Linked DNA regions of Macaca mulatta. The protein of the gene in region 1 purifies or fractionates together with the protein of each later gene. This does not show direct contact. Links are inferred from orthologs where the notes say so. Each region holds a gene or a part of one and is shown in the gene's direction. Other genes may lie near its edges. The genes, in order: CSNK1A1L, FAM83H and FAM83D.

Region 1 (9,961 bases):
TGTTTTTATGAGGAGTTACATTATCTAATATTTAAATTATTCAAGTTCCTTAAAATGTAAGGATTCCAAAAGCTGGTATTAAATAATAATTCATTATTTAGAAACTCCTTTATCTCAAAAATACATCTTTTCTGACAGATCATTAGGACTACTGTTTCTAAAAAAAAAAAAAAAAAAAACAGGATGCTAGACATGTACTGTTAGAAAGAGTGTATGATGATTGGATAAAATTAAATATCTCTGTGAACATAACTATAAGGAACCAGATTGAGACTTGAAAAATAAATATATTTGACTGCAGAACCCAGAGTTATAAAAAATATTTGTACTCTGCTGGAGATGCTCTCTCTTAGACAAAATTGTCAAAAAGGAACTTCACCGGGATTAAGTGCAAGCCTGTGTATGCACATTCAGGATGCACTAAACTGTAGTTCAGCCAATCCTTTTATTTTCCAATCCATTGTTCACCCTAATCACAGTCAAACTAATCACAAGATGAATCCATAAGATAATTAAAGCAACCTAAATTAATGGATCATTTATACTCAGACTCATTCATTTTAAGCATCTGACATAATTACAATTTACAGCTTTCTCTTTGTATTAGAGGGGATAGCTGTTAGAACTTAAGCACAATTAGCTGAAAGGAACTGGAAGATGCAATAAGTGTGATATTATGTTATGAACTGTTTTCATGTAATTTTTCTGATCTTTAAATAAAGTAACAAAGTTAATGAATGTGTTCACATAATGATCTGCCAACAACTTGAATGGTCTTAATAAAGTGACAATCTGCAAGAAAAAGCAAAAGAGGTTACACAACTCCTTACTGCTCTGGAAGGAAGTCTAGAAAGGTGCCAAAATTGCAATAATTTCATGGGAACCAAACAAAAAAAGTAATGATTTTTAAGGCTAAAATTGCACCCTACATTCTCAATATAGTAAAATTGGTATTTAAAAGTGTTTTCTTTTTTCCAGATATTGCAAGTTCCAAAATGAGTGAACAGAAAGATGCAGAGCCATGTAGAAAATATTCTGTCATGAAGAAAACTCCAGCACATTACAATGATGCCCTCTGCTGTGGTTTTTGATACTACACCAAATAGCCTCATTTCCAATATGTCTCATTGTCTTTGCAGTGCCAATATTTCCAGAAAACTTTGAGGAAAAAATGACTTAAATCCTTCTATAAAGTTAGTGATCTCCAGGATCTTTTAAAAACTGAAGTGATTGATTCTGGGTAATGTTATTCTGAACATAGTGTTTGAGCCACATAAACTTCAGTAAATCCCTTAGTGACAGCATTATTTATTTAAGAACATATTTTCACTTATTTTGTATTCTATTTAAATAGTTCCAAAAGGAGATGATATTCACGCCAAATGGTTTCTGTAATGACAACTGCTGACCCAATTTGACAGCCAAAAAAAATTTTTTTTTTACTTAGAAATTTTTGTGTCTCAAATGACCTTTCTACTAAAGTGTCTCCATTTCCTGGGAAAGGACATCAAGAAGCCCAGAAAATTAACCCCAAAATTCATATGAGACTAAAACCAATGCCATTTGAGTATCATTTCTTAATTGCCAAAAGCAGATGTGGACTTACAGGGAAGTGAATAAAGCCTCCTTTGCAAGGTCCCTTCTAAGTGTTAGGAGTGGACAGGAGTTCTGAAGTATTTCACGTGGGGAGGAGAAGTCAGATTGCATTGTGGGAACATTTCTACATAAGAATTTCTGGTCAATTGCATCAAGATAGCTTAGGGGATAAAAAAAGAGACTTGAACCTCTAACAGTCAAGCAAATTGTAATGATTTCTTTTCCTAAGTTAAATATTTCATGCCTGTTTTTTGTTGCTGTTGTTATCGTTGTTGTTTTTCTTAAAGAGGGCCACAAAAAAAATTGTATAAAGTTCAGGACCGACAAAACCTGAATTGGCTGTTAGTACAATACTACCCAGTACAATCCTGCCCAGAATACGTTATTTTATTTTTACTGGAGTCATCTTGTATTAATAGAAATTATTTTAGAGGCAATTGTGAAACCAAGGCTAAATCATAGCTTTAAAATGCATTGGTAAAATACTTTACACAATTAAGGGAAAGAAAGAGAACTAATATATTCCCAACAGTGAAGCCACCCAGCGTTCAGGGGCCTCTAGCTGTTGATATCTATGTAGGGGTTACAAGTACTGGCTTTGGAGCCAGCCTGGATTTCCATTCTGAATCCATCATTCCCTATCTATTCCACCTTTGGTGAGTCACTCATGCCCTGCAAATAGGAGGCATTCAGTAACTATTTGTTGAGTGAATGAATAAATAATGCATCAATCCCACACACTGTCCAGAAAACTTTATCAAATACAGTAGTTCAATTTACTTCCATTTTATAAACTATTTGTTGCCCATCTTTTAGGGAAAAATATTGGACAAAAGGGTGGGAAGGGATGCAAGAGTTTAAGCAAAGTGTTGTTTGGGTTTAAAAAAGAGTATTTAAATTTGGTTAAGGAGATTGGAAAAAGTTTCATGGAGCAAACAGCATTTAGGGAAGAGTCCTGAGATTATTAGGATTAGACCTGGGCGATGTGAAAGATAAAGCAGACTGGAAGCATTTCAGGCTGAGGAAGCAACACCATAAGCCAAGACCCAAAGATGGAAAAAAAATGCAAGGAGTATGTGTTCGGGGAAAAATCAGCAGCCCCACTGGCTTGTGGTAAGAGAATTCATGGGAGACTGGATTGGAAGCTATTCAGGGTCATATCACCACTTCAGTCATTGATCCTCCCCACTCTGGAGATGCTCACAACTTCCCTGTAAGTGAAGGTTCATCCAACCACCATTATAAGTTACACTTTACTTTCTTTGTAGACACTGCCTTTATTTAACTGATACAAAGAAGTATGGGACTTAGTAAACAATTAATAAATTATAATTAAACTCTTCTTGTTCCAGTATTGAAAGGGGATTTTTTTAATTCAAGCTTTTGTCCAAGTATGGGTTATCCGTATCTTTTTTGAATAGCGACTTCTTTCACACAGAGATCATTTGAATTTCAAGGTTCATGTTGAAGCTATTGACTGGAAGACTGAAAGGGAAGGAAGCGTAATGGGCACTGGGTTAACAACATAAATTTTGTTCTAGATTATTAGAAAGGAAATTGTTCTCCAGGCAAATTTCGACAAAGTTGGATGAGTAAATGAAAGAAATGCCATTCTAGTTGGTACCGTATAAAAAGTAACTGCCTTGGGCCAGACTTCAGTTTCAAATTGGCCTCCAACACTTACCTGTAGTGTGGTCTTGGGCAATTCATCTAACCTCTCTATGCCTTAATTTCCACTTGTATAAAATGAGAAGTACAATCACAATAATAAAATATGCCAGCAGTATACTGTATTACTATCCACCTGTGGGAGGAGTATGTATTTTCACCCCACTGTCTTTGGACCTGGCCATGTGATGTGTTTTGCCCAGTGGAATGTGACATTTGCCACTCCTTTTATTATGAGAACAGCATGCTCCTAAGGAGGCTGCTCTTTCAGCCCGCATTCTAGAACAAAGAGGACACAGGAAGCAGAGATGCAGCTGATCTACAGCTTACATAAAACCTGAATGATAAATAAACTTTGTCATTGTAAGTCACTGAGATTTGCGAGTTGTTCCTGCTGCAAAGCCAAGTAATACACTGTGCCACCCACCTCACATATTTGTCTTAAGCGAACTTTAAAAATGTTTTAAAGCACTCTATAATGTTCTGTGCCCGTCTATGTCTCAAAGCAGCTCCTTCTCTCGCCATAGATTGATGCAGGTCAGAAAAGTTAGAAACAGCACTAATTTATGTGAGACAGTAAAGTGGGAATACCTACTTTCAAAGCTGCACCTCCCTCTCCTGCCCTTCTGCCATTGGTCCCCAAATTCGTTGCTACTGCCCCGTTAGGATTATACTCAGTTCCTATCCCATATCCTCATAAAACAAAATAATCGCACAGGTTTTGTTATTTGTGATGTGAACTGTCATAAAAATATTGAAATGGTACCGCTTTTTCTGCTAGTGTTGGCCCCAATTCTTTCGAGAAAATGCTCAGAACTGCCGGCGTCTGTTTCTTCTCTCTATTTTGGTTAAATTTTACTTGAATCCTTCATTTAGTCAGTTTTGCCAGAACTTCTCTGTGGAATCTTATTTAAATTCAAAGCACTCTATGAAAAAATTTCAAAAAGATCGCTTAAAAAACACACACACACACATTTCAATTTAACTAGCAGTAAGTAACTCTTGTTGACCAAACTCAATAAACAAGCAACCACTGAGACTGCAGAGAAAAAGCCCAAGGGGTGGCACCCCAATTGGCATTAACCCAGGGAGACATGATGGCTAGGGAAGTAGGTGGGACAATGACTGGGCCCGAAAACAAGAATATCTTTGTTATAAAAGCCTCCCATTTCTGCACAATTAAGTTGAAAGGAGGTGAGCTTCGAGTTACATAAGCCTAGGCAGTTTTGAATTCCAGCTGGCCCACAATCTCTTGCAACCTTAGGCCGCTTACCTGAGACTTAGCCTTTCTTACCCAACGAATCAGGGAAAATAACAGCTATCTTACAAGACTAGCAAGTTCGTGTTAAATGGAACAAGATGAGTGGAACACCTAACAGAGGACTCAAACATTAATAGTGTCTCCAAAAATTCTCGATTTGTGGTTGGCTGAGGCGGAGGAACAAGATGGCGGCGCCAGCGGCGTGACCGGGCCCTCGGGCCCACAGCCGTTGGCAGCGGTGGCAGTGGTATCGCTGCCGCAACTCGCTGTGCCCCCTTTCTCAGCCCGCGACGTCGCCGCGACAGCGAGGCAGCGACCGCCACCCAGAAAGAGGTGGTGGCCCAGCCTGGCAACCTTGAGAAGCCCTCGAAAACTGTGGCCTGGCGGAAACCCTGGTGTGCTCTGGGGATCAGGCTGACTCCAGGCCCTGTAACACCGGGAGAGGCCTCGGTGGCCATTTCCAGCAGCCCTCACCCTCAGCCTTGTGGGGCTGGCGGGCCCCGGAGGCCTCCATCCTCCCCTAGAGGGGTCAGGGCAGAGCCCAGCCTCCATCTTTGCCTCTCAGGATGGCAAACAACAGCGGCTCCAAGGCCGAACTCGTTGTGGGAGGGAAATACAAACTGGTGCGGAAGATCGGGTCTGGCTCCTTCGGAGACGTTTATCTGGGGATCACCACCACCAACGGCGAGGAAGTAGCAGTGAAGCTGGAATCTCAGAAGGCCAAGCACCCCCAGTTGTTATATGAGAGCAAACTCTACACGATTCTTCAAGGTGGGGTTGGCATCCCCCACATGCACTGGTATGGTCAGGAAAAAGACAGCAATGTGCTAGTCATGGACCTTCTGGGACCCAGCCTCGAAGACCTCTTTAATTTCTGTTCAAGAAGGTTCACCATGAAAACTGTACTTATGTTAGCCGACCAGATGATCAGCAGAATTGAATACGTGCATACAAAGAATTTTCTACACCGAGACATTAAACCAGATAACTTCCTGATGGGTACTGGGCGCCACTGTAACAAGTTGTTCCTTATTGATTTTGGTTTGGCCAAAAAGTACAGAGACAACAGGACCAGGCAACACATACCGTACAGAGAAGATAAACACCTCATTGGCACTGTCCGATATGCCAGCATCAATGCACATCTTGGTATTGAGCAGAGCCGCCGAGATGACATGGAATCCTTAGGCTACGTTTTCATGTATTTTAATAGAACCAGCCTGCCGTGGCAAGGACTAAAGGCTATAACAAAAAAACAAAAATATGAAAAAATTAGTGAGAAGAAGATGTCCACCCCTGTTGAAGTTTTATGTAAGGGGTTTCCTGCAGAATTCGCCATGTACTTGAACTACTGTCGTGGGCTGCGCTTTGAGGAAGTCCCAGATTACATGTATCTGAGGCAGCTATTCCGCATTCTTTTCAGGACCCTGAACCACCAATATGACTACACATTTGATTGGACGATGTTAAAGCAGAAAGCAGCACAGCAGGCAGCCTCTTCCAGTGGGCAGGGTCAGCAGGCCCAAACCCAGACAGGCAAGCAAACTGAAAAAAACAAGAATAATGTGAAAGAAAACTAAGCATGAATGAGGAACAGAAGAAGCAGAGCAGATGATTCGAGCAGCATTTGTTTCTCCCCACATCTAGAAATTGTAGTTCATATGCACACTAGCTAGTGGCTGTGGACAACCATTTACTTGGTGTAAAAAACTTTATTTCAATATAAACTGACTCTGGGGAGCGTGGGTGATGCTGTATCCCAAGGTGTGTAGCCGCTGTAATTGTGAATATTAACTGAGGTAGTGAAACATGGTGTCTGGTTTTCTATTGCATTTATTCAAGTAGAAAAATTAACTAAATGGTTGACACACACGAATTGGTGGAGACATTGTCCATATGCCAATTTTTTTGTTAAAACCTTTTATTTTGAACTAGACTGCTTTGATATCTCATTTCAGAAGAACAGTCTTCAGCCACAGCTGTAAAGGTTGTAAATGCTTACCATTGAGCATTTTTAGGGTTTCTCCATCCCTGGGGTCTGCAAATTGTTCACACAAAAAGCATTCTTAAAATGGTTGGCTTCTTGTTTGCAAGCCAGCTGATCTGGTAACAAACAAAAATTCCAGTTTTGAGAATAGGAAAGATACTGCCTGCTTACCTGCAAAGACATAAGAAAATCTTAGTAACTACCAGATAATCTTTAGAATTCCACACTAACTTTATCATGTTTTCGGTATTATAAAAACGACAACAACAACCATATTTGTCACAGAAATTTAGTTAACATCTTACAACTGAACATGTATGTGCATTGTTTAGATAAATGTAATCACTGTAAACACCTATGTGATCTGGGATTTTGTTCATATTTTGAAATGGGAGCTTTTATGTTTTACAAGTTCACTTAAAACCGTTTCTGTAAGAAAATGATACTTTTTTAAACAACAACCAAAAAATGCCTTGCTGATTCACTAGGAAATAAAAATCTCCCCAATTTTTTGATAGTCAACTTAAAGTCATTTGTTACATGATATTCCTTTGCAAGTAAATTTTATTTCATGACATAAGTTTTTTCAATGTTTTTATTCTAAAATAATTGTTTTGTATGAAGAGAAATGTATTCTTTCATTTTTCTTTTTCTAATGACTTGTGGTACAGTATCTAGTACTGCAACTGTCAGAACTTGGTATTGTTACTTCTTCCACTGACTAATAGCTGGGCTGATTTCAAAAAAGAATGCAAGCATTGAAGGGTTTGACTATAAAACATTGTTGTTTAAAATACTTGTGAAATGGCTATAAACAGTTGACTTTTACCCTTGGAGAGCACACTGTGTGAGGTTCTGTGATCATTGACTCTCCCTAACCCCCATCTGTTTCTCTGAATTATGTGTGTGTGTATGCGCTTCCTCTCAATCTCTTTGCACCTTCTTTTTTTTTCTCTGACGCAAGATAAAGGAAAACTCATTTTCCTTTTAATTCTTTAAATAGTGTAATTTATTCACTTATAGCATGTCAGGATAAATTAAAAGAACTTTTGTCTGAAAATGCTGCCAGGAGCCTATTGTGTAAATGTAGGCATTTTGTAAAATAACCTTGAAATTGAAAATTGCCACATGTTTGGTCAGATTGTATCAGGTTTCATTTTTTTTTTTTTTTTCATTTGAAAACTACTTCAGCAATAATTAATTCCATGATTACCGCATTCTGCCATTAAGGGATATATTAGTACTATAATACTGAAGAAATCTTAGTAAGTCCAAATGTTGGGGGTAGGAAGCTTCTTTGTTTCCTTCTATCCACCCTTGTTAGTTAAGGTATTTGTTTCTTAGCTATTAAGCCCTTTCCAGAAATCAGTCTCATAAAGCTATTTTTGAGTATAGTTTATATAAAAGAAAAATATTTAACTTTGGTAGTAACTTTTCCAAGCTTACCTCCCCCAGCAAGATATTTTTCAGTGCTTTTATTCAGTATGTACTTATTCTGAAATATTTTTGTATTCTTGCCATTTGAAAAGGTTGTGGCATAGTTGTTGTATAATGAAGTTGCAGATTTAAAACTACTGTTAGCTTTGTAAAACAAAATATAGGTGTTTTTCTCCCGGTATATCATCATTCCATTTTTCTTCTAGATACCATTCAATGTCTTCACAGTTCATAAAAGAAGAATGTGAAATGCAGTGAATGCTGTTACTAGTCATGCCAAGAGATGAATCTCATTTCACAAAAATTACATTATGTTTTTCCACTAAAGGGTGATATAAGTTGAAGACACATCACTGTGATATTGGGAGACCTCACCCCTTAAGGCTCCACAGTGGCTTCCTCAGCCGAATTCTAAGTTACTGCTCTTTACTTTGTTCACCCATTGGAGAGTGCAGTTTTTTTACACGTTGGGAGATGGCCATTCTAACTACTGTTCAATGTCTCTGTTTTGGGGAGGGTAAAACAAGAAAATTTTAAAAAGAGTATACGTGTCTGGGCACAGTGGCTCACGCCTGTAATCTCAGCACTTTGGGAGGCCGAGGCAGATGAACCAGCTGAGGTCAGGAGTTTGAGACAAGCCTGGGCAGCATGGTGAAACCTCATCTCTACTAAAAAATACAAAAAGTAGCCATGCGTGGTGGTGGATGCCTTGTAGTCCCAGCTACTCATCAGGCTGAGGCAGGAGAATCGCTTGAACCTGAGAGACAGAGGTTGCAGTGAGCCGAGATCGCACCACTGCACTCCAGCCTGGGTGACAGAGCAAGACTGTCAAAAAGACAAAAAAAGAGAGTAGACATGAAGGGAGACACTGGTTATCCTACCATATGGATGTGCTTATGCTTTGATGGTCTACAAATAGATATTTGGAGGTTTACCTTTACTATGATTTTTCCACCAACAAATATTTTTATTAAGAGATTTTCCTAATTCCATTATAATAAAAATATCAAACAAAAGAAGTTTTTTTTTTTTTAAAAAAAAAAACGTCTTCTTGGATTCTTTGTCATTAACCTTCTTCCATTGGGAACCTACTGTCGAGTAACAAAAGGAACTATATTCTGCCACATGAAGACAAAAGACAATAATATATTTTGTATTCTAAAGCCAAAAGCTTAAAAGAAACAGCATGCACACATTTATATGTATGTACTTTTTTCCTTGACATATTTATAGCTTCTCATAGGTCACACACATTAAAAAGTAGCACACATCTGAACTGTGCAGAAGTAAAATCACACATATTCCGAATAAAGTACATCTTCAGTTCTGTATTTCTCTGTCCTCCAACTTTGAAATCCCTAGGAACTACAAAAACAGGGAGAGAAAAAGAGAGCCCCCCACCCATCAAGAGGTCATATTGAATGATTCCAAGGGATAGTGGAAGCCTGTACTGAATCCAGGTTTTTAAACTGCCAAGTTTTTAACTCCTGGCTGCAGTTCCCAACATATGACATAATTTAGAAACTTGATTTAGGCACAGGAGAATCACAGGACTTAAACACTATGTCCCTTAGCATGTAAAATATTTATGGAAAATCCAGGCAAGTAATAAGCTGTAAAGAAACTAAAAGGAAAAAATTTTGAAAAATGGCAGCTATAGTATTTTAAATCAAAAAGGGAAAAAGAAGAAATGATGGCCATTTTATTAATGGGTAAGTTGAGTGGAACCTCTTTGGGTCCTTCACAGCCTTTCTATTCTTCCACCATCTTCTAACATCTATGATTCCTTGGGGCCATTACGAGACCCACCAGGAGGATGGAGCAGCTGAGGATGGTGCTACTTTTCCAATCAGAGATGATCACAGAAGTTTACAAATAAGCATTTTCACCCCAATCCAGCAATACCAGCACCACCACCCACAATGCTTTCACATACAGACTTGTTCACATATACCCTGAAAAAAACTTCCAAGGCTTCCCACTGCATCTATTTGAATCTATCTTAATGGTCT
Region 2 (10,066 bases), on another chromosome or scaffold:
GGACGCCCTCTGAGCTGGCCTGAGGCCGGCCAGTCGATGAGCCAGGGCCCCTGGGGAGCAGACACCTGGTGAAGGAGACGCTGGATCCAGGGCCATGTCTGGGAAACGAGGTCGAGTTCGCAAACACCGGGCCAGGAGGGCAGGCAGGGCCCAGCCGGCAGCTGGGCAGCAGGGCCCTGAGGTCGAGCCCCCGCCCCTCACCCCAGGGGGCCCTCAGGGTGATGCGGGGGTGGCCCCTACAGGGCACGTGACCAGCATCGAGCCAGCACCTCAGGGACACCCCAGGGTGGCCAGGCCAGAGCAGCCACAGGCAGCCTCGAGGCCGGTGCCGGCTGCTGCTCCAGGGTCTGAGCTGGTGCTGGTTCTCACTGGGCACATGGAAGGCTGTGGAGCAGGGGGCCCCATGCCGGCCCTGGGACCTGAACTGCTGAGGCTCCATGAGGTCCAGCTTTGCCTGGCCCAGGAGCAGCTGCTGCTGGAGGACCGGTGGAGGCAGGTCCAGCTGCAGATGCAGCTGTGGCGGGAGGAGCAGCTGTGGCTGCAGCAGCTACAGGAGGAGCAGCTGTGGCTGCAGCAGCTGCAGGAGGAGCAGGCCTGGGTGCACGTGGAGGGGCTGCAGCTGGCCATGGCCCTGGAGCAGCTCCGGAGTGAGGGCCTCGAAGCACTGCAGACCCAAGGCCAGGTAAGGCCTGGATGGGGTGGTGGGGAGGGGATCCCGGACCCTTGTGTTGGTGCGGTGGCCACTCCAGCAACCTAGGGATGCCTGTGGAGGGCCAGGAAGCCAGGCTGGATGCAGGGCATCTGTGGGCCCATTTTCACATATGCCAAGTGAAGCCCGTGCCCGCCACGCAGGGCACTGCAAGACCAAGGGACAGCAAGCCTGCCTAGGCTGGCCCAACGCTTGGTGGAAGTGGGCACTGAGGGCAGATACTTGTTCAGGGACAGAGGTGTCCCTGCAGCAGACCCAGGTATGCTGGGCCAGAGCTGTCCAGGGCAGTGTATGGGCTGCGGTGCAGGGCGAAGGCCTGGGGGTGCAGTCAGTAGGTAGCAGAACTGAAGAGCACAGCCCCCACCCACGCAACCCAGTTTCCTGGCCGGCAGGTCCGCCTGCCCTGCCCCGTTTATTGGAGTGCAGTGTACTCAGGGCTAGAGACTGCGGAAGCAGCATGCGGCGCCTGTGCCCATTATCCTCATTCCAGGAGGGCTGCTGGCCTCAGACGCAGCTGGGGCTATTTTGGGGAACTAGGATCTAACCCCAGCCTGGTGTGGAGGAGTGGTCACCATCATCCCACCTGCTCCTGTGAATCTGGGAGCTCTCTGGCATCCAGGGGTGTTAGGCCAGGCCCACTCTAAGCAGAGGGGCAGTCTGGGGAGCAGTCTGGGATACTCTCTTAGTAATCACAGACCCCAGCGCAGGCCTGGGTGCTGAAGGACCCCAGATCTGCAGCCTGGAATGTGTTCACAGCCAGCACAGAGAATAAATGGGAGTTGGGGCAAGGGAGTGACAACAGTGAAGGCGGGGTCGGGGGGGATCTGGGGGAAGTCCCCTTCCCGACCCACAGGAAAACCCAGCCCAGGTGAGTTGTCACCATCCAACCTGGAAGTGACTACGGAGAAGGTGACTGGGAGCAAAGCGGCAGGCAGAGGGCAGCACAGGACGGCCAGATGGAGCAGAGTCAGAGCAGAACACATATTTAGACTGAGAATCCCCAACTTGGACTCAAGCCCTCCTGTTTCAAAACCCATTTTTGGCCACCTAGGCCCCTCCCACTGGCTCCTGCCCCCTTCCCATCCCCCAAAACTGGGCTTCTCTGAGCGCTACCCCCAGGCCCCCATCCCAACCCCAGGCGTATAAGATTAAGGCTGGGCCAGGCACGGTGGCTGAAGCCTGTAATCCCAGCACTTTGGGAGGCTGAGGTGGGCGGATCACCTGAGGTCAGGAATTCGAGACTAGCCTGGCCAACATGGCGAAACCCCTCTCTACTAAAACAAAAATACGAAAATTAGCAGGGCGTGGTGGCACACATCCATAATCCCAGCTACTCAGGAGGCCGAAGCAGAAGAATCACTTGAACCCAGGAGGTGGAGGTTGCACTGAGTCGGGATTGTACTCGACTGGGCGACAAGAGCGAGACTCCGTCTCAAAAAAAAAAAAAAAAAAGATTCAGACTCAAGGCCCGAGATGAATGAATGAACCCTCTGTCAGTCACACCTAATCCCAACTCAGAGATCCCCTGAGAGCCACTCTTGGAAGAAGGGCTCTCCTCAGAGGGGGTGTCTCTCAGTGGTTACACAGAAGGTCTCACAGGTCCGTGTTTGGGTGACAGTGCCCTGGAGGTCAGAGGGTGCACTCACCAGCAGTGGCTCTCGGCTTGGGCCCAGGGTGGAGCGTCTGCCACTTCCCAGCTGCAGCTTTGGGTCCCCCCTTCTTACTGTGCATTCTCCTGGGGGATGGGTAGGGAAGGACCAGGGAGGGGGTGCTCAGAGTGGCAGAGGGCAGGGACAGCGGCAGTGGGGAACAGGGCACACCACGGGGGCCTGAGTGGATAACAGCAGGAACATGGGCTTCCCCCAAGGCTTCCCAGCTGGTGTCCTGTCTGCCTGCCCGCCCCAGGTGTGTGCCCAGAAGCTTGAGCCGGGATGCCTGGCAAGAGCACTTGGCCACATCCCATCCCCCCGGCTGTGGCTTGCCTGCTCCTCCACCCCAGGCTCAGCTCATCCCGCCAGGCCAAGGATCTGGAGTCCAGCACTCTTCTCACTGCCCCAAGGTGCTGGGTTGCCAGTGGGACGGTCTTTGTTCTCACCATAAGCATGAGCACGGCCCTCTCTGCTGAAGCCTCCATGCCTCTCCACTGCCCTGGGAACCCAGCCCACCCGTGAGCCTGCTCCCCAGCCCACCCAAGGCACTCACCCCTCCACGCCCTCAGACCCTATGTGGTCCCGGCCTTGGCAGATGGTGTTGTCAGGTCCTGGAGTAATACCCCTCTCCCTAGTCCACACAGCTGACCCCCAAGTTCATTTCCCTGGGAGGCTCCTCCTGCCTGCTTTGGCCTGTCGGGGTCCTCCCTGGTGCCCCATGCCCCTCACCCGCTACAGCACAGTTGCCTGGGCACTGGTCTGACCCCCCACCCATGTTTCCAGCATACTGGTACCAGTGGGGTGTCACTGAGTGTCTGGGGAAAGAACAAATGAAACTGGGAGTGACCCTGAAAACAGAAAATAGGATCACATGGCAAGAGGGACAAACAGAAAGGTGACTGATACCATCAGAAAGCGTTCAGGCAGGGCCAGTCCTTGGGGTGGGAGTGGCAGGGGTGAAGGGTGGTGGTTTGGACAGGTAATCCAGTGCAGGGCAGGGCCTAAGTGGGGGGAGAGGCCCTAAGTGAGGGCCTGAGGGGGATTTGGGGGTTCTGGAGCACCCAGGGGCAGCTCGGGGTAGTGTGTGGGGTTGCTGTGTTCATGCGGGGGCGTCTGGTATGTGAGGCTTGGTGTGCACACTGGGTCCCTTGTCCGTGTTGGGGCTTGGTTTTCGCGGGGTCCCCGAGTGTACACCCAGGGTTCTATATGTGTGAGGGAGGTCCCCTGGTCTCTCAGAGTCAGTGTGAATATGGCATCCCTGTTTGTGTGTGGGATCGGTGTCTGAGGGCTCTCATATGCAGGTGGGGTTCCCTACGTGTGCGGACGTCAGCGTGTTTGTGGGTGACTGAAGTGGATAGGACTGGGTGTTCTTGTTGGGTTCTGTCTTCCTGAGGAGTCTCCTGTGCTTGGGGGGTTGGTGCACACGAGGGACAGGTCATTCGGGGTCCGCATGTGCATTGGGGGTCACTGCAGCAGAGTCCCCTACAAGTGTGGGCATGGATGTGAAGGGATGAGGGAGAAAGATGGGGAACCCCAGGTACTTGTGGGCATCAGTGTGTGTGTGTGGTGGGGGTCGGGGCCTGGGGGTCCTCTGTTGGGCGGGATCCCCTCTACGTGTGGGACGCTGGTGCGGTGGGAGACCGGTGTGTGGTGAATGGATCCCCTGTGCTTTCGGGGCTCCCAGACCCGGCCCCGCCCGGGGCTCGACGCCGCCCCAGCGCCCTCACCTGCCGCACCTGCCTTCACCAACTCGGCGAGGAGGTCAGAGCTCCGCCCCTTGCGTCGGGCTGGCTTGTTTCCTAGCGACTGAGCCGGAACTTCCGAGTCACCCCAACTTCCGGGGCGAGGGTCAGGGGTCAGGCTAGGAACTTTGAGCCTGGGGTCAACAGTTGGGCTCCTGGGGGTCGAGGCCTTTGAAGTGGGGGCCTCACGGTCTCCGGCGGCGCTGGGCCGGGGTTTCTGGGCACGTGGCCGCAGGGCACGGGCGAGTCGGGGCGGAGGGTCGGGGCGCGGGCCGGGGGCGCGGTCCGGGGCGGGCGGCGGGGCCGCGGCGGGCGCGGGGCGCAGGAATGCGGGCGCGCCGCGGGTGGGGCCGCTCCGCCCCCAGGTGCTGCCCGGGCAGGCAGGAGGCAGGAGCGACGGGCGGGGCGGGGGCGGGCGCGTGAATCAGGCCGGGCGGGCCGCGGCAGGGAGTGGCTGCCGGACCGACCGGACCGCGAGGCCGCTGGGCGGCGGTCGGCTCCTGCTGCCCCTGTGCCGAGACCCCGCGCACCTGGCCAGGTAGGGCCCCCCTCCCCCGGCCCGGGCGGGGCGAGGCGGGGGCGGGCGCCCCTCGGTGCGGTCCCACCTGGGCTACCCTCGCGCCCGCACCTGGGCCGGGGCCGCGCGACCCAGAGAGGGGAGGTGGGAGTGGAGCGCGGCCGCGTGCGCGGGGCCGGGGCGGCGGGTCAGCTCGGACAGGGGGCGCCGCTGTGCGGATATGGACGCGAGCGCCCTCGCACGACGGCAGCCCGAGAAGAGCCGAGTGGGAAGCGGCCCGGGATCTGGGTCGAGCCTGCCTGGCCGTCCCGACTCGCTGCTGCCCTCGCGGCCTAGCTGGAGTCTGGGTGCTGGGCACGGCCTGGACCCTTCCCTGGGGACGCCCGCCCGGGCCACCGTGGACTGGGGTGGCCAGGGTGCGGCCTGGATCCCCGCCTGGCAAGCAGGGCGAGTGACGGGAGGGCTGCCCGTAGCGCCCATGTTCCAGGGCTGGGGTGGGTGGATGGGGCACCCAGCCGCCGCAGCCGCGAGCTCGCAGGGTGCACTGACCCCGTTGGGGGCTGGGGTGCCCACCCCGCAAGCTATCACTGAGCGACTTCCGGTCTGTGAGCCCTGTCCTCCGCACCCCACCTTTCCGCCTCCTAGAGCCTCCGCGCCCTCCTGGGCCCATCGGAACTTGGCACAGGCTCACCCCACTTTGTGTAGGAACTCCGGATCCTTCCATGGGGTCCTCCTTCCAGATACTCAGGAACCCCACTTCCTGCCAGGGTGGAGAGGATGGGGTCCTTGAAGGCCAGCTGAGGGCCCTGACTTCGAGTCAGAGGTCAGGGGTCAGCAGCAGAAGAGTGGATTCGTGCTGAGTCATTGGCCATGGGTGGGTTCCGTGCCCTACCTCCCTTGGGCAAGCGTTTGGTAGGCAAATGTGTGGGCATGCAGGCCACTGGGGTGCTCCATCTCAGGCTTGGGAGTGTCTGCGGCCCCGTCCATAGCCCAGCAGACACGTACCCATGAAAGGACACGATGTGAGGAATGAAGCCATTGGAGGTCTGGGCATCACCCTGTGATGATGAGGGGTGTCTGCTGGGAGGGCTCCTGGCAACGGGGGATTCCACAGTCCAGATGATCCCTGCCCCCATTACACACAGCCTGGAGCCTGGATGCTGTGTGGATATCCCTCCCCTGTGAAATCCTAAGGGACAGTGGGGGTCCTTTCTAGAGTGTCCCCCAGCGTCGGGAAGTGCCCTCAAACAAGGTTAGCAGGGTTGTTCCCCCTGCCCTGTATGGTCAGACACCGCCCCTACAGCCAGGCTGGCAGTGGTGAGTGGGCGCCCCGGCCCAGCCAGACAGGCCTACACCTCACCCCCATGTGGTTGGCCTCGATCTGCCCTAACGAGCCCCATATGTCAACCATGAGGACAATGCCCCAACAAAGAAATGTTGGGACAGCTTCTCCCAGGCCAGTTGGCATCTGGGGCTGTTGAGTGGCACCAGGTATTTCCCATGTCCCAACTCCATGTCACCCCCGGGGGTACCAGGCAGGACGGCGGCCTCCTGACCCCAACATTCTCAGCCTAGTGGCTCCGGTTAGCACCCGTGCAGTCCAGCTGGCCAGCGCCCATCCTGTCAGTGCCCCAGGGCACACTCCTCTGTCTGGGCTGAACCACCTTCCCAGCCAGGGCCAACATTCGGGAACCTGTGTGCTAGGCGGGGATAGGTGTCCTGCCTCCCTCCCCAACCCGAGGAGCAGTGGGATGGGCTGAGCGGTCCCTAGGGCTCTCCTTCCAGGGAGAGGTACCCAGGTAGCTCGGTGACCCCAGGCGTGGGCCCTGGGTGCGCCCCATCTGACCTTTCTGGAGAGGCCAGGCACCCTGCAGGGACCCTTTGGAGAACAGATTGGGCTGTGGGGCAGCCAAGTATGGATGATGGTGGGGAGCCCAGGACCTGGAAAGGTCCCTGCTGCCCTGGACGGGGGGCTGGTGGCAACAGGACTCTGAGCAAGTGGAGAGCCAGATCTGGGCGATATGGAGTGCAGGCCCTGCAGGGCCCTGTGGGCACCAAGGGGTTGTGGTCCAGGGAGGTGTTATCTGAGAAGGACAGTGACAAGAAAGGTCAAGGGAAGGAGGGGGACTGGTAGACAGAGACAGAGTCTAGGGGTCAGTGTTGCAAGGCTGGGCAGTCATAGAATGGGCTGTGGGAACCCAATTGTGAAACCCTGGGGATGGGGAGGAGGTGTCGCCCGGGGCTATGCGTAGGGCTTAGGGTTGCCATTCCAGGAGGAGGGTGGTCACAGCCCTGTTTGCTGCGCTCACCTTGGCTAGGCACGGTGTCTTGTGGACCCTCAGCTGTGTTGTGCAGTAGAGGTAGGCCAGAGAGGTGCAGTGACCTACCCACGGTTTCCCAGGCAGTCAGGGACAGACACATGCCAGCATGGGTGGCACCAGCTTATCCAGTAGGCACAGTGCCAGGGGCCTGTGAATGTCTTAAGAAAAAAGTGAATACTATAATGATGAATACAGCCTGGATTATGTTTGTCTTTAAGCCAACAGTCATAAAATGTTTTGGGGGGCGGTTGGTTTTATTTTCATTTTTTGTAGCGATGCAGTCTCTATCACCCAGGCAGGAGTGCAGCGTCACAATCATAACTCATAGCAGCCTCCAACTCCTGGGCTCAAACAATCCTTGTCTCAGCTTCCCAAGTGGCTGGGACTGCATGCGCACGCCACCATGCCTGCCTGATGTTTAAAATTTTTTGTAGAGATGGGGTCTTGCTGTGTTGCTCAGGCTGGTTTCAAACTCTTGGCTTCAAGCGGTTGTCCTGCCTCAGCCTCCCAGAGGAAGGAGAGACAAGGCTGGGATACCTGTGCCCCACCCTCTACCAGTATCCCCTCAGCTTGGGGTGTCCCTCAGTCTGGGTTGCCCTCTGTGAGCCTGGCTCAGCTGGTGTCCTGGAAGGCCTCCTGGGCATGGGCTAAACTTCAGCCTACCCAAGTCACTGACAGCCCCTTCCACAGTGTGTCCATTCTAGAGGGTAGGAGTGGTCCCAGTGCCCCCACCCCTAGTCATGTGTCTCCCTGCCCCTCCAGACCCCTGGCCCCAACATGGCCCGTCGCTCCCAGAGCTCCTCGCAGGGGGACAACCCACTGGCACCCGGGTACCTGCCGCCTCACTACAAAGAGTACTACCGCCTGGCGGTGGATGCACTGGCCGAGGGTGGCTCGGAGGCCTACAGCCGCTTCCTGGCGACTGAGGGGGCACCAGACTTCCTGTGCCCTGAAGAGCTGGAACATGTGAGCCGACACCTTCGGCCTCCACAGTATGTTACCCGAGAGCCACCCGAAGGCAGCCTTCTCGACGTGGACATGGATGGCTCCTCAGGTACATACTGGCCAGTGAACTCAGACCAGGCCGTGCCTGAGCTTGACCTGGGCTGGCCTCTGACCTTCGGCTTCCAGGGCACCGAGGTGACCACCTTGGTGCAGCCACCGCCCCCCGACAGCCCCAGCATCAAGGATGAGGCCCGCAGGATGATCCGTTCCGCCCAGCAGGTGCGCCATCTTGGGCTCAAGGGTAGTGGGGAGGGGCCAGGGCTAGAGGCACCAGGGTGGAGGAGACGCATGAGCACGATCAGCTTGGGTGAACCCTGAGCTCCAGCTGGAGCGGGGGTTCCTGGCAACAATCTTCAGGGCCGCCAGGTCTCGATCATCAGGGGCTACAGGCTCTGCACGGGTCTGCTTGCCCATGGTCATGGCCAGTGCCCAGAAATTCAGGGGCTCTGAGATGGGTGGGCACCGCCCCAGCCTGGGTTGATTGTTCAGATAATTACCTCTCATCCTGCCCGGTGGCCCTTGGCCAGCTGAGGGCTTCTAACCCTCACCAAACAGCTAGCAGACGGTGCAGGGTGCATCAGGTCCAGACGCTAAAGGCCCATGACTTTCTCCCCTGCCCATGGCAGCAACCCTGTCCCAGGGCAGAACTGGAGCCTGGGACTCAGCCCTGACAGCTGTCCTGGAGTGGGGGCAGCTCAGCCGTCTGTAGGGTGGAGGGGATTTTGAGGTGCCCTTGCCATGCCCCCAGCGGGGCCCCATACCCCAACCTGGCCCACCCTCGTCCAGGGTTCTCTGCCCTGCACCTGCCTCGGCTCCCTCCTCATGGCCAGCCACTCCACACCTCTTCTCCTTCTGGTCCTGTGGTCCCTTCCTCCTACCCATCTTCCAGACGCAGCCCCACTCCCAGGGATGGACTAGCTTGTTTCACAGTGGTTGTGGGTGATCCAGACGCCTCCTGGGCGTGGTGGGGAGGCTGGACAATAGTGTGGGGACAGCAGGGGCCTCTCCTCTCTGTCCTGACCCGCCCCTGCAGGTGGTGGCCGTGGTGATGGACATGTTCACTGATGTGGACCTGCTCAGCGAAGTGCTGGAGGCCGCCGCCCGTCGGGTCCCAGTCTACATCCTGCTGGATGAGATGAACGCGCAGCACTTCCTGGACATGGCCGACAAGTGCCGTGTCAACCTGCACCACGTGGATGTGAGTTCCCGGGAGTGGGAGATTGGGGAGGACCCGCGGCAGAGATCTGACTCCCCTCCCTCCCCAGTTCCTGCGGGTACGGACTGTGGCGGGCCCCACCTACTACTGCCGCACTGGGAAGTCCTTCAAGGGCCACGTCAAGGAGAAGTTCCTGCTGGTGGACTGTGCCGTGGTGATGAGTGGGAGCTACAGGTGCGCCCGCGAGCTTCCCTCACCCCCTTCTCTGGGGCCTCCTCCTGTAGCCCCAGCACCCCCTTTCCACACCAGGGCCCTCCTTGCCAGGAGCCCTTGTCCTGTATCCCTGCGTCCTCCCCGCCCCACCCGATGCCCACGGGGCTGCAGTGCCCTCGCTCCAGCTCAGTTTGACTCTGGCCCTGACCCCCCACAGCTTCATGTGGTCCTTTGAGAAGATCCACCGCAGCCTGGCACACGTGTTCCAAGGAGAGCTGGTCTCCAGCTTCGATGAGGAGTTCCGCATCCTCTTCGCGCAGTCCGAGCCGCTTGTGCCCTCGGCCGCGGCCCTGGCCCGCATGGATGCCTATGCCCTGGCTCCGTATGCCGGGGCCGGGCCCCTTGTGGGCGTCCCTGGGGTCGGGGCGCCAACCCCTTTCTCCTTCCCGAAACGAGCGCACCTCCTGTTCCCGCCACCCCGGGAAGAGGGCCTGGGCTTCCCCTCCTTCCTCGACCCGGACCGCCACTTCCTGTCGGCCTTCCGCCGGGAGGAGCCTCCACGGATGCCGGGGGGCGCGCTGGAGCCGCACGCGGGCCTGCGGCCGCTCTCGCGGCGCCTGGAGGCCGAGGCCGGGCAGGCTGGGGAGCTCGCGGGCGCGCGGGGCTTCTTCCAGGCGCGGCACCTGGAGATGGACGCCTTCAAGCGGCACAGCTTCGCGACCGAGGGCGCAGGCGCCGTGGAGAACTTCGCGGC
Region 3 (10,190 bases), on another chromosome or scaffold:
TAGCCCTCTCCCCGACAGGACTCTCTTGTTGGCCAGAGGGCCCGCTTCCCATGGGCATTGCAAGTGCCACCGTGCGGGGCCTGGCTCTGCACACCCAGGAAAAGTCTGCAGACCCCCAGCCCTCCGCAATAATTCACCAGACCAGAAGCCACTGATGTACAGAGAACACTTTAAAAAATGTATTTTATGTGAAAAAAAAAAGTTAAAACTCTGTATACTGTATCAGCAGCTTTGTGTAAAAATGGCAATCAAGAGAGTCTAATATATTTAAAACTTTTTTTAAAAAAATCTTCGCGGATCTTTGATATCGTATTGAAGTAACTTCCAGGTAGCCCCTCGCCACGCGGCACCGGTGGGCCTCGGGTCCAAAACCGTGGGTCAGCCACATCCCAAAGGGGGCACATGTCCCTGGAGTTGCTTCCAGATGCCAAGGCCTGTGACGGAATTCGCTGTTAAGAATTTTTAATTAAAATTATTAAATTCCTTTTAATAACACCTGCTAGTGTGAGTGGTTATTGCTGTGAGCTCACTTGAACAGTGCTGACTTGAATTCACAAAGAGGAGGTTTCTGGAATAGAGGGTGGGTGAGGGCTTCTAGTCTCTTCCCCCTTACCCCACCCCTTCCCCACAGAGGGCTTTCCCATGAGGCCCCTGAAGTAGAGGGAGCTTTGGGGGCTCAGACCTGGAGCAGATGTCTCTCCAGACTGGGAGATGGTGAAAACTGATGAATTCAAGAAAAAACTGGTGGTTGGGAATGACCTTCATTCTGTCAAATATTCTCTTTGAAATTAACATGAGGCCCTAGAGTTGCATATATTTATTCCATACATTTTCAAAGTTTTTCCTGATATTTATTTATTTATTTTTATTTTTTTAAGACGGAGTCTCACTCTTTCACCCAGGCTGGAGTGCAGTGGCGCGATCTTGGCTCACTGCAATCTCTGCCTCCCGGGTTCCAGCGGTTCTCCGGCCTCAGCCTCCCAAGTAGCTGAGATTACAGGCGCTTGTCATGATGTCCAGCTAATTTTTTGTATTTTTAATCGAGACAGAGTTTCACCATGCTGGCCAGGCTGGTCTCCAACTCCTGACCTCAAGTGATCTGCCCGCCTTGACCTCCCAAAGTGCTGGGATTATAGGTGTGAACCACCGCACCTGGCCTCTCATGACATTTGTCTCATGACAAGGGTGCCCCTCTCCTCTGTCCCATTCTTGGAGTACACTGATGTGTCCTGTCTTCTTCCCCCTGCCCTATTCCACTCTTTCCCCTCGTGTGCTTATTGTGGGGAAGTATAATACTATAAAGTACTTCACCTTATGACAGCAATACAGCAGCTAAGGCCCTGGCCATTCTCATTTTTTACCTCAAGCATTACAGCCATACAGAAGCTATGTGGTTGCACAGCCTCAGACCACAATCCTTGGTCCTTGTCCCACACAGAACTTTGTTGGTGTTTTTCTTTAAAGAGGATGAAAAGGGTGTTGGATCACAAGGTGAGGAGTTCGAGACCAGCCTGGCCAATGTGGTGAAACCCCGTCTCTACTAAAGATGCAGAAAATTAGCCGGGCGTGGTGGCACGAGCCTGTAATCCCAGCTACTCTGGAGGCTGAGGCAGGAGAATCGTTTGAACCTGGGAGGCAGAGGTTGCAGTGAGCCGAGATCACACCATTGCACTCCAGCCTGGGTGACAGGGCAAGACTCCATCTCAAAAAAAAAAAAAGAAAAAAGAAAAAAAGGTGCTCTCTTATAGCCTCCCAGACACTGGATACCAGAGCAGGGACACATGGAAGGCCCCACACTTATTGTTGAGAAACTTCACAAAGGGATGAGGAGAGCAGGGGAAGAGAGGGAGAGGCGTCTGAATAGCCGCAGGCATTCATCCATTTAAAAAGGTTATTGGTTACTAAATAATAATAGCAACCTCTCACATTTATGACGCACTTTTCATTTACATAAGAAAGATGAGGACTGAAAATTGATTGTTGGATTTAGCTCTGTGGAACTCATGATGAACCTGACAAGAGGTTTTGGTAAAGAAGTGAGGGTTTTAGCCTGATTGAAGAGGGCTGGAAAGGAACTGGAGACAGCAGGTATAGACAACTGGTTTGAGGGTTTCTTTTTCTTTTCTTTTCTTTTTTTTTTTGAGACAGGGTCTTACTCTGTCACCCAGGCTGGAGTGCAGTGGTGTGATCATAATTCACTACAGCCTCAAACTCCTGGGCTTAACTGATCCCTTGCCTCAGCCTTCCCAGTGGCTGGGACCAACAGGAGCACTGCCATGCACTAAGAGTTAGGCGCACCACCATGCCCAGCTGACTTTTGTATTTTTTTGTAGAGACAGGATCTCACTATGTTGCCCAGGCTGGTCTCAAACTCCTGGGCTCAAGTGATCCTCTTCCCTTGGCCTCCCACAGTGCTGGGATTACAGGTGCAAGTCACCATGGCCAGCCACATCTGAGATTTTATGCTGCAAAAGTAAGAAGAGAGATGGGGAGCTTTAGAGGAATGTAGAGTCAAAAGAGGGTTGTTTTAAGACGAAAAATATTTCAGCATGCGTGTAGGTTGATAGAAATGAATCAGTAAAGAGGGAAGCTGATGTTCCAGGAGAAAGAAGAAGGTTGCTGGAGTGATGCTGGTGAGTAGTAGAGGGGCTGGAAGTGCCCAGGCAGAGGGGTTGGGGTTGGATGGGCACAGGCGCAGTTCATCAATGCCCAGTATATGGGCAGCGATGGAGACAGGAAGGTAGACTAGATGGGCGCACGTGGACGTTCCCTTCTCACTGCTTCTGTGTTCTCGGTGACATAGGAGGCAAGCTGTCAGAGAGGAAAAGGTAGAGAGAATGAGGGAAATGTGGCCTACCAGGCAGTTTTTTTGTTTTGTTTTGTTTTGTTTTGTTTTTGATGGAGTTTCGCTCTTGTCGCCCAGGCTGGAGTGCAGTGGTGTGATCTGGACTCACTGCAACCTCCTCTCCCCGCATTCAAGTGATTCTCCTGCCTCAGCCTCCCGAGCATCTGGGATTACAGGCGTACATCAAGATGCCCGGCTAATTTTCGTATTTTTAGTAGAGACGGGGTTTCACCGTGTTGGTCAGGCTGGTCTCAAACTCCTGACTTCAGGTGATCCGCCCTCCTAGGCCTCCTAAAATGCTGGGACTACAGGCGTGAGCCACTGCGCGCCCGGCCTCCTAGCAGGTAGTCTTACAGATTATGAATGTAAAACATGACCAGTCAGTAAGCATGGTTATGCTCTTTTTGTTTTTTTCTCCAGCCCTGTAGGGCTGCCGGGGTGCAGGTGCAAAGTAGGATACAACCAGGGTTGGTTGGAGTTTTACAAGGCAAAAACTGATGAAATGAGAGAAGACTACCCGAGGGTGTAAGCAAAGGAGCGGTCCTAATATGATGAGCCGGTATTTTTTTAATGAATGAATACGTGGTTAAAGGCAGGGGATAAAGACGATATGTTTGGCCATACCAAAGCTCTGAGAGCCTAGGAGCAGCGTGGCCAACGTGTCTGGGAGCCGGCACCTGCCTCTCCTCACTGCCTAGGCCTGACTGTCCCTGGCCTTGTAGGGCCGCACTGGGGGGCGGCCGGCAGGGGGCGCCCTGGGATGGCCAGGAGCCCGGCTCTCCCCGCTCTGTCCCTGCTCTGCGGCCCGCCTCGCCCCTGCAAGTTTAAATTCGGCTTAGCAACCCCAGCATCGCAGCCAATAACGCATGAGGGGGCGGAACCGTAGAGGCTTGCGCCCCGCCTCGCTCCGCTATTGGAAGGAATGCAGCCAATGGGAGAGTCGAGGCGGGGAGGTGCGGCCAATGGCGCGGGCCTGTTTGATTCAAAGGTTGCCTATAAAGTGGGCCTGCAGGCTGGTTCTTGTCCGAGGGCTGTCGCGTCCGAGTGCCGCTATGGCTCTGCTGTGCGAGGGCCTGGACGAACTGCCGGCTGCCTGCCTGTCTCCGTGCGGGCCGCCCAACCCGGCCGAGCTGTTCAGCGAGTCACGGCGCCTGGCTCTGGAGGAGCTGGTGGCCGGCGGCCCCGAAGCCTTCGCGGCCTTCCTGCGACGCGAGCGCCTGGCTCGCTTCCTGAACCCCGATGAGGTGCACGCCATCCTGCGCGCGGCGGAGAGGCCAGGAGAGGAGGGCGCGGCGGCGGCGGCCGAGGACTCGTTCGGCTCCTCGCATGACTGCTCGTCTGGCACCTACTTCCCCGAGCAGTCGGACCTGGAGCCGCCGCTGCTGGAGCTCGGCTGGCCCGCCTTCTACCAGGGCGCCTACCGCGGCGCCACGCGCGTCGAGGCCCACTTCCAGCCCCGCGGCACGGGCGAGGGCGGCCCCTACGGCTGCAAGGACGCTCTGCGCCAGCAGCTCCGCTCGGCGCGAGAGGTGAGCGGCCCTCCCGGGCTCTGGGTCGCACGGGAGACCCCCTTCAAGAATGGGAAATTGAGGCCTGCGGGGAGCACAGGCCGGGGCGACTACCTCCTCAGCTCCCTACCGGAAGCGCGGGCCACGGGGTCCCGGGGTCCCCGACTCACACCCCACTCTGCGTGTCTTCCCCGGATCCCCCGGGCCGCTCCTGGTGGCAGGGGATAGTGGGGAAGCCTCGGTTCCCAAGGATAAGAATTGTGTCCGGGTTCCATCTCCTAACGTTCATATCCCTGAAGGAGGGACCAGAAGTACTCCCAGCTCCAAATTTCAGTTGAAATCAAACTTGGAAAATTGCCGATTTCCCTGGCTGTCAGCCAACGCTACATCCCACTTTCAGGAGCTTCTTAGGAGACTCATTACCAAAGAACTTACCTAGGGAAAGTTCCAGGAAGGTGGTCTCCAGAGACAACTACGGGGCATTAGGAATCAATTATTATTGCTAATTACTTTCACGCATCTTATGTTGTAAAAAGCAGATAAACACAAGTGGCAAAGTGAGACCCCTGCCGCTTTTTCTTTCTTGTCTTTTTTTTTTTTTTTTCTTTGAGACAGAGTCTCACTCTTTTGCCCAGGCTGGAGTGAAGTGGTGGGAACTCAGTTCACCGCAACCTCCGTCCCCGGGTTCAAGTGATTCTCCTGCCTCAGCCTCCCAAGTAGCTCGGATTACAGGCGCCTGCCACCACTCCCGGCTAGTTTTTGTATTTTTAGTAGAGACAGGGTTTCGCCATGTTGGCCAAGCTGGTCTCGAACTCCTGACCTCAGGTGATCCACCCTCCTCGGCCTCCCAAAGTGCTAGGATTAAGGCGTGAGCCACTGCGCCCGGCCCCCTGCCGCTTTTTCTACTGCCAGAGACTGGAGGGGAAATTTGCCGTTGTGAATGAAAGGGGCAAGGAGTTTTCCATAGGCTGGGTCTGTGCCAGATTGCAGTGGTCTCCTAAAATGCAGATACATTTGCATTAGATCGGCTTCTGTTTTGGTCCTACTGTCTGACTCAGTATGGCATGGTCATGGGCGCAGTGGAGGTCTTGTCTGCTTGCCAGCCTCAATGAAGCTGCAGCAGGGTGTTGGGGATCAAGGAGGAAGAAGGCAGCCTGCATGTGGGTGTGGCAGAACAGTATGGTGGCAGACACCTTGGTCTGGAACCATGGTCAGGTTGCTTGCTGACTGGCAGTGCCCGGCTTCCTGGCTGTCTGCCTGTGCCAGGGACATGGCAGATAAAGCCCCAGCCATGGTAAGACTTGCGAGGGCTGGTACATGAGTGTGTCTGACTGTGGGTGAAGATACCAGTGCATTGTCAGGTTGACATGTCCAAGTCCAAGCCCCAATTCTCACCAATGTTCTTAATATTCTTTCCCTGAATGGTGGGGTTGCAGTGGTAGTGGATACAGTGACCTAGTGCCTTGCTTTTGAGGGAGTGGTTGTGGGCTGCAGCTAGGCTTTTACCAGCCCTGAGGTGCTTTAGGTGGGCTGAGGGTTTTTTGATGCAGTAGACATTTTCCTTGCGGGTTCAGTGAGAAGATTAAAAAGATGGAAAAGGCAGACTTGTGTAGGTATGCGTTCCCAAAGCTCACCTCCAGTAGAACTTGAGCACTTGGAACCTGAAAAATGTAAAGAACTGGTCTATATAGTGAGAGCTGTGGATTGTTCTAGTCTTTTGCCCATCTCAAAATTTTAGTGATAGCAAAGGGGCACTGGAACCAGAGGCCAGAGGGAAATTAAACTCACGTGCTGGCCTGAGGAGGGGATGGAGCCGGGAGCTCAGACTCTCCCTCATCCCATGGGCGTTTTGTAATACTGACATTTCCAGATAGAACCTGCTGCCCTAGTCTAGCTACCCACAGTTCCCTCTGAGATGCTATATTTGGAACGTGGGCAGTTTAAACTGAGAAAGTTACCTTTAAATCCGATGAGTATTGGCTGGATACGGTGGTCAAGCCTGTAATCCCAGCACTTGGGGAGGCTGAGGTGGACGGATCACGAGGTCAGCAGTTCGAGACCAGTCTGGCCAACATGGTGAAACCCCATCTCTACTAAAAATACAAAAATTAGCAGGGCGTGGTGGCACGCACCTATAATCCTAGTTACTCGGGAGGCTGAGGCAGGAGAATTGCTTGAACCTGGGAGGTGGAGGTTGCAGTGAGCCGAGATTGCGCCATTGGACTCCAGCTCTGGGCGACAGAGCACGACTCCGTCTTGGGAAAAAAAAAAATCCAATGAGTATTTTCAGTAGGTCGAATAGATGCCAAATTATTTGCTTACTCATTGCCTGCTGTGTATCAGACACTACCAGGCCTGGGGCCACAGGAGAAGGCATCAACCTTGCCAACACTTGAGGGTAGACAGTGTGCTGATGGGAAGCAGTGAGGAGTCTGCTACAGGTACTGCGGAAAGGGCTGAAGAAAGAAAGTCTGTGGAGTGGCAGTGACCTCACAGCTGGGTTGGGCTTGCCAGACCTAGGGTATGGGGGCTGGCCCACAAGTGTTTAAGGAACTGGAATGTTTGGGGGCAGCCAAATTCCCCATAGCGGGTTAGTGGTAGGAGAGGAAGCTGGGGTAAGGGATGCTGAAATGAGTTGGGTTTGAGACAGTGCTGAATTTGAGGTCCCAGACGCTCTTTTGTTGAAAAAAAAAAAAAAAAAAAAAAGCCAGGCATGGTATCATGTGCCTGTAGTCCCAGCTACTCAGGAGGCTGAGGCAGGAGGATCGGTTGAGTCTAGGAATTCGAGGCTGTAGTGCACTATGACCATGCTGTGAATGGCTACTGTGCTCCAGCCTGGGCAACGTGGGGAGACCCTGTCTCTTTAAAAAAAAAAAAAAGTAATGCTTTCTATTTGCCAGGCACTGTTCTAAGTAATCCCAAGGAAGGTGCGATTATCATCTTCATTTTACAGCTGATAGAACTGGGGCATAGAGAAGTTAAGTAGCCCCAGAGTCATGCAGCTAGAGAATGAAGGACCCTGTACTCAAATTGAGGCACAGAATGTCTGAACCACTGTTAACAACCACACTCGCTGTGGAGGATTCAGGAGCCTGTGCTCGGGTGGGGAGAGGTGACAGAGAGCAGATCTGGTGGTTGGCTAAGTGCTACCACTGTTTAAGGGCATGCATTGTGAACAAGGGAGTGGCTGTGTCACCTTGACCACATCCTTTGAAGTCTAGTACCTGTGACAGCGAGGATCATAAAGGTGTAGGTCTTAGGCTGCTTTCAGGATGAAATGAGAAGCTGTTCTGCATCCGTGTTCTGATGGCAAAGGTACCTAATGGTGATATGATTGAGCATTTAGAATGGGTCAGTTTCTGTGCTAAACCCTTGACCTGAATTACCTCATTTAACTCTTCAAACCCTGTGAGGAGGCCACAATTAAGAAAAGACCAGGCACAGAGAAGTTAAGTAACTTGCCCAAGATCACACAGTTAGCATGGGACAGAGCTGGGCTCAAGCCCAAGTCTGTCTAGTTCCGGCTCTGAAGCGCACATGTTTTTTTTCGTTGTTGTTGTTATTTATTTTTTTAAAGACAGTCTTGCTCTGTCACCCACGCTGGAGTGCAGTGGCATGATTTCAGCTCACTGCAACCTCCACCTCCTGGATTCAAGTGATTCTCCTGACTCAGCCTCCCGAGCAGCTGGGATTACAGGAGCACACCACCAAGCCCAGCTAAATTTTGTAGGGTGTTTTTTTTTTTTTTTTTTTTTTGAGACAGAGTTGCTCTTGTTGCCCAGGCTGGAGTGCAGTGGCATAGTCTCGGCTCACTGTAACCTCTGCCTCCCGGGTTCAAGCGATTCTCCTACCTCAGCCTCCCAAGTAGCTGGGATTACAGGCGCCTGCTACTAATTTTTGTATTTTTAGTAGAGACGGGGTTTCATCATCTTGGCCAGGCTGGTCTTGACCTTGTGATCCGCCCGCCTCAGCCTCCCAAAGTGCTGGGATTACAGGCGTGAGCCACGGTGCCTGACCACTGAAGCCCACACTCCTAATCCCTACAGCACACAGCCTCCCTGCCATGAGGAAGGATTGGAGCTTTGTTAGTTTTCAACAGGCTGAAGGTTTGTAACAGTTGAAGATTGGGACTTTTTAATTTCCATGTTGCGTATTCTATGAACAGGAAAATGACAGTGACTAGACCTGTCCTTTTCAGGAAGAAAACGAGGTGGTCAGTTTTTAGAGGAGGAGGCATTAAGGCTGGCAGAGAACCTCCTCCACCCATCAAGTGGGGAAGGTGGTTAATGATGCCAGAAGAATATAGGTCTCTGGGTTTAGGTTTTGTAAACTAGAGTGCGTTTTCCTCTCCCTGGGAAAGATGGAGCCAGATAGATACTTCTGGTACCTGGAGCAGAGGGATCTATGGGAACCTTTTGGTGGGTGAATGAAGGAACTTTGAATGCCACGTGAACGGTCCCACTTAACCCCAGAGGTTGGGGCCAGGCTGCAGTAGAGCAGGGTCAGAGCTCAGCGTTTGCCCCGTGCAGCTTTATTTGCCCTCACTAAGGTGGTCTGGGGACCACCTTGCATCTTCAGGAATGTCTCTGGAAGAAGCCAGAATATGAAGCTCCTTGACCAGAGTATAGGCACAGGAAGCCAGGGTTACTTGGTAAATGGCAGGGCCTAATCCTGGCTTTGCAGCCTAAATGGCTGGTTCTGGCATAGGCTTTATCCAGCAGCTCTCTGACCACACAGAATCACTCAGTGTGTCTGATACATAAAAGGTGCTCAGTAAATACTGTAGGGGCCTATTATGTGCAGCTTTGCTCATTCAGCTACATGCTTTAAGGAGAAATAAAGGGTGGGGGAAAGGGAGTGGGAGGTAAGAAGAAAAGTAGTTCAGGTGATTCTGTCTGCCTTTCTACTCAGCAAGTATTTGTCCCTGGGTGGCTGTGCCTGGGGGTTGTGAATCTGCCATCCCCTTCCTTGACACTGTTTCTATATACCTTTCAAAGTGTGGGCATTCTGCCACACTAAATGAGATACAGTGTTTAAAAACAAATGGTTTGGCCATGCGTGGTGGCTCATGCCTGTAATCCCAGTGTTTTGGGAGGTCAAGGCTGGAGGATTACTTGAGGTCAGGAGTTTGAGACCAGTCTGGGCAACATAGTGAGATCCCGTCTCTACAAAAAGTTAAAAAATTAGCTGGGTGTGGTGGCATGTGCCTGTAGTTCCAGCTACTCAGGAGGCTGAGGCAGGAGGATTACTTGAGCCCAGGAGTTGGAGGCTATAGTAAGCTATGATCATGCCACTGCACTCCAGCTTAGGTGACAGAGCAAGACCCTGTTTCTAAAAAATAAATAAAAACACAATTATGTGTAGCATGGCTTGAATACAAGCTGGCTGCTTACCAGGTGCTTAGGCGAGCTTCACCAAAACTGGAGGAAATACTGCTTTGAACCTTTTGAGAACCCATATGTTTGCTTCCTAAGGAAGTTTTTGGATAATCTTGAACTATGCAGGATATTTTCCCCATGTACTTGCTCTAGGTCCACCCCTCTACCACTGTATCTATTGATGACTCATTCAGCTTTTTGCCTCTGTTGCTATGTGAACTGGGATTTGGCTGGGCTGTGGCCCCTTGCCTGGAAGGGCTATGTAGTGTCATTTTGGCAATGTGCTTATGAATTGGCTGTCCGGCTATTCCAGTTTGTTGAATGGGAGTTCAGAGGCAAAGCTGGTACCACCAGGAGGTTCCAATTCCTCAGAGTCACCTTTCTTACCAGTGCCTATTCCCTATGCTCTTTTGTTCCAAAGAGGCCCCTTTTGCTATGACCTCACCCTCGGGCATCCTC

What was found.
Region 2: the proteins of CSNK1A1L (region 1) and FAM83H purify together in Homo sapiens (affinity purification with mass spectrometry; 3 studies listed by BioGRID and IntAct, with this or other methods). This does not show direct contact. The link is inferred for Macaca mulatta from reciprocal best matches to the Homo sapiens genes CSNK1A1L and FAM83H.
Region 3: the proteins of CSNK1A1L (region 1) and FAM83D purify together in Homo sapiens (affinity purification with mass spectrometry; 3 studies listed by BioGRID and IntAct, with this or other methods). This does not show direct contact. The link is inferred for Macaca mulatta from reciprocal best matches to the Homo sapiens genes CSNK1A1L and FAM83D.

The regions. Positions count from the first base shown.
Region 1 is NC_133422.1:16,704,394-16,714,354, reverse strand, and holds CSNK1A1L (casein kinase I), read left to right. Parts: upstream 1-4,681; 5' UTR 4,682-5,091; coding exon 5,092-6,105; 3' UTR 6,106-7,089; downstream 7,090-9,961. UniProt on the Homo sapiens protein: Casein kinases are operationally defined by their preferential utilization of acidic proteins such as caseins as substrates. It can phosphorylate a large number of proteins. Participates in Wnt signaling.
Region 2 is NC_133413.1:154,094,898-154,104,963, reverse strand, and holds the start of FAM83H (protein FAM83H), read left to right. Parts: upstream 1-4,440; 5' UTR 4,441-4,638; intron 4,639-5,350; exon of another isoform or gene 5,351-5,491; intron 5,492-7,700; 5' UTR 7,701-7,715; coding exon 7,716-8,162; intron 8,163-8,976; coding exon 8,977-9,141; intron 9,142-9,208; coding exon 9,209-9,333; intron 9,334-9,529; coding exon 9,530-10,066. UniProt on the Homo sapiens protein: May play a major role in the structural organization and calcification of developing enamel. May play a role in keratin cytoskeleton disassembly by recruiting CSNK1A1 to keratin filaments. Thereby, it may regulate epithelial cell migration.
Region 3 is NC_133415.1:91,794,591-91,804,780, forward strand, and holds the start of FAM83D (protein FAM83D), read left to right. Parts: upstream 1-3,671; 5' UTR 3,672-3,711; coding exon 3,712-4,374; intron 4,375-10,190.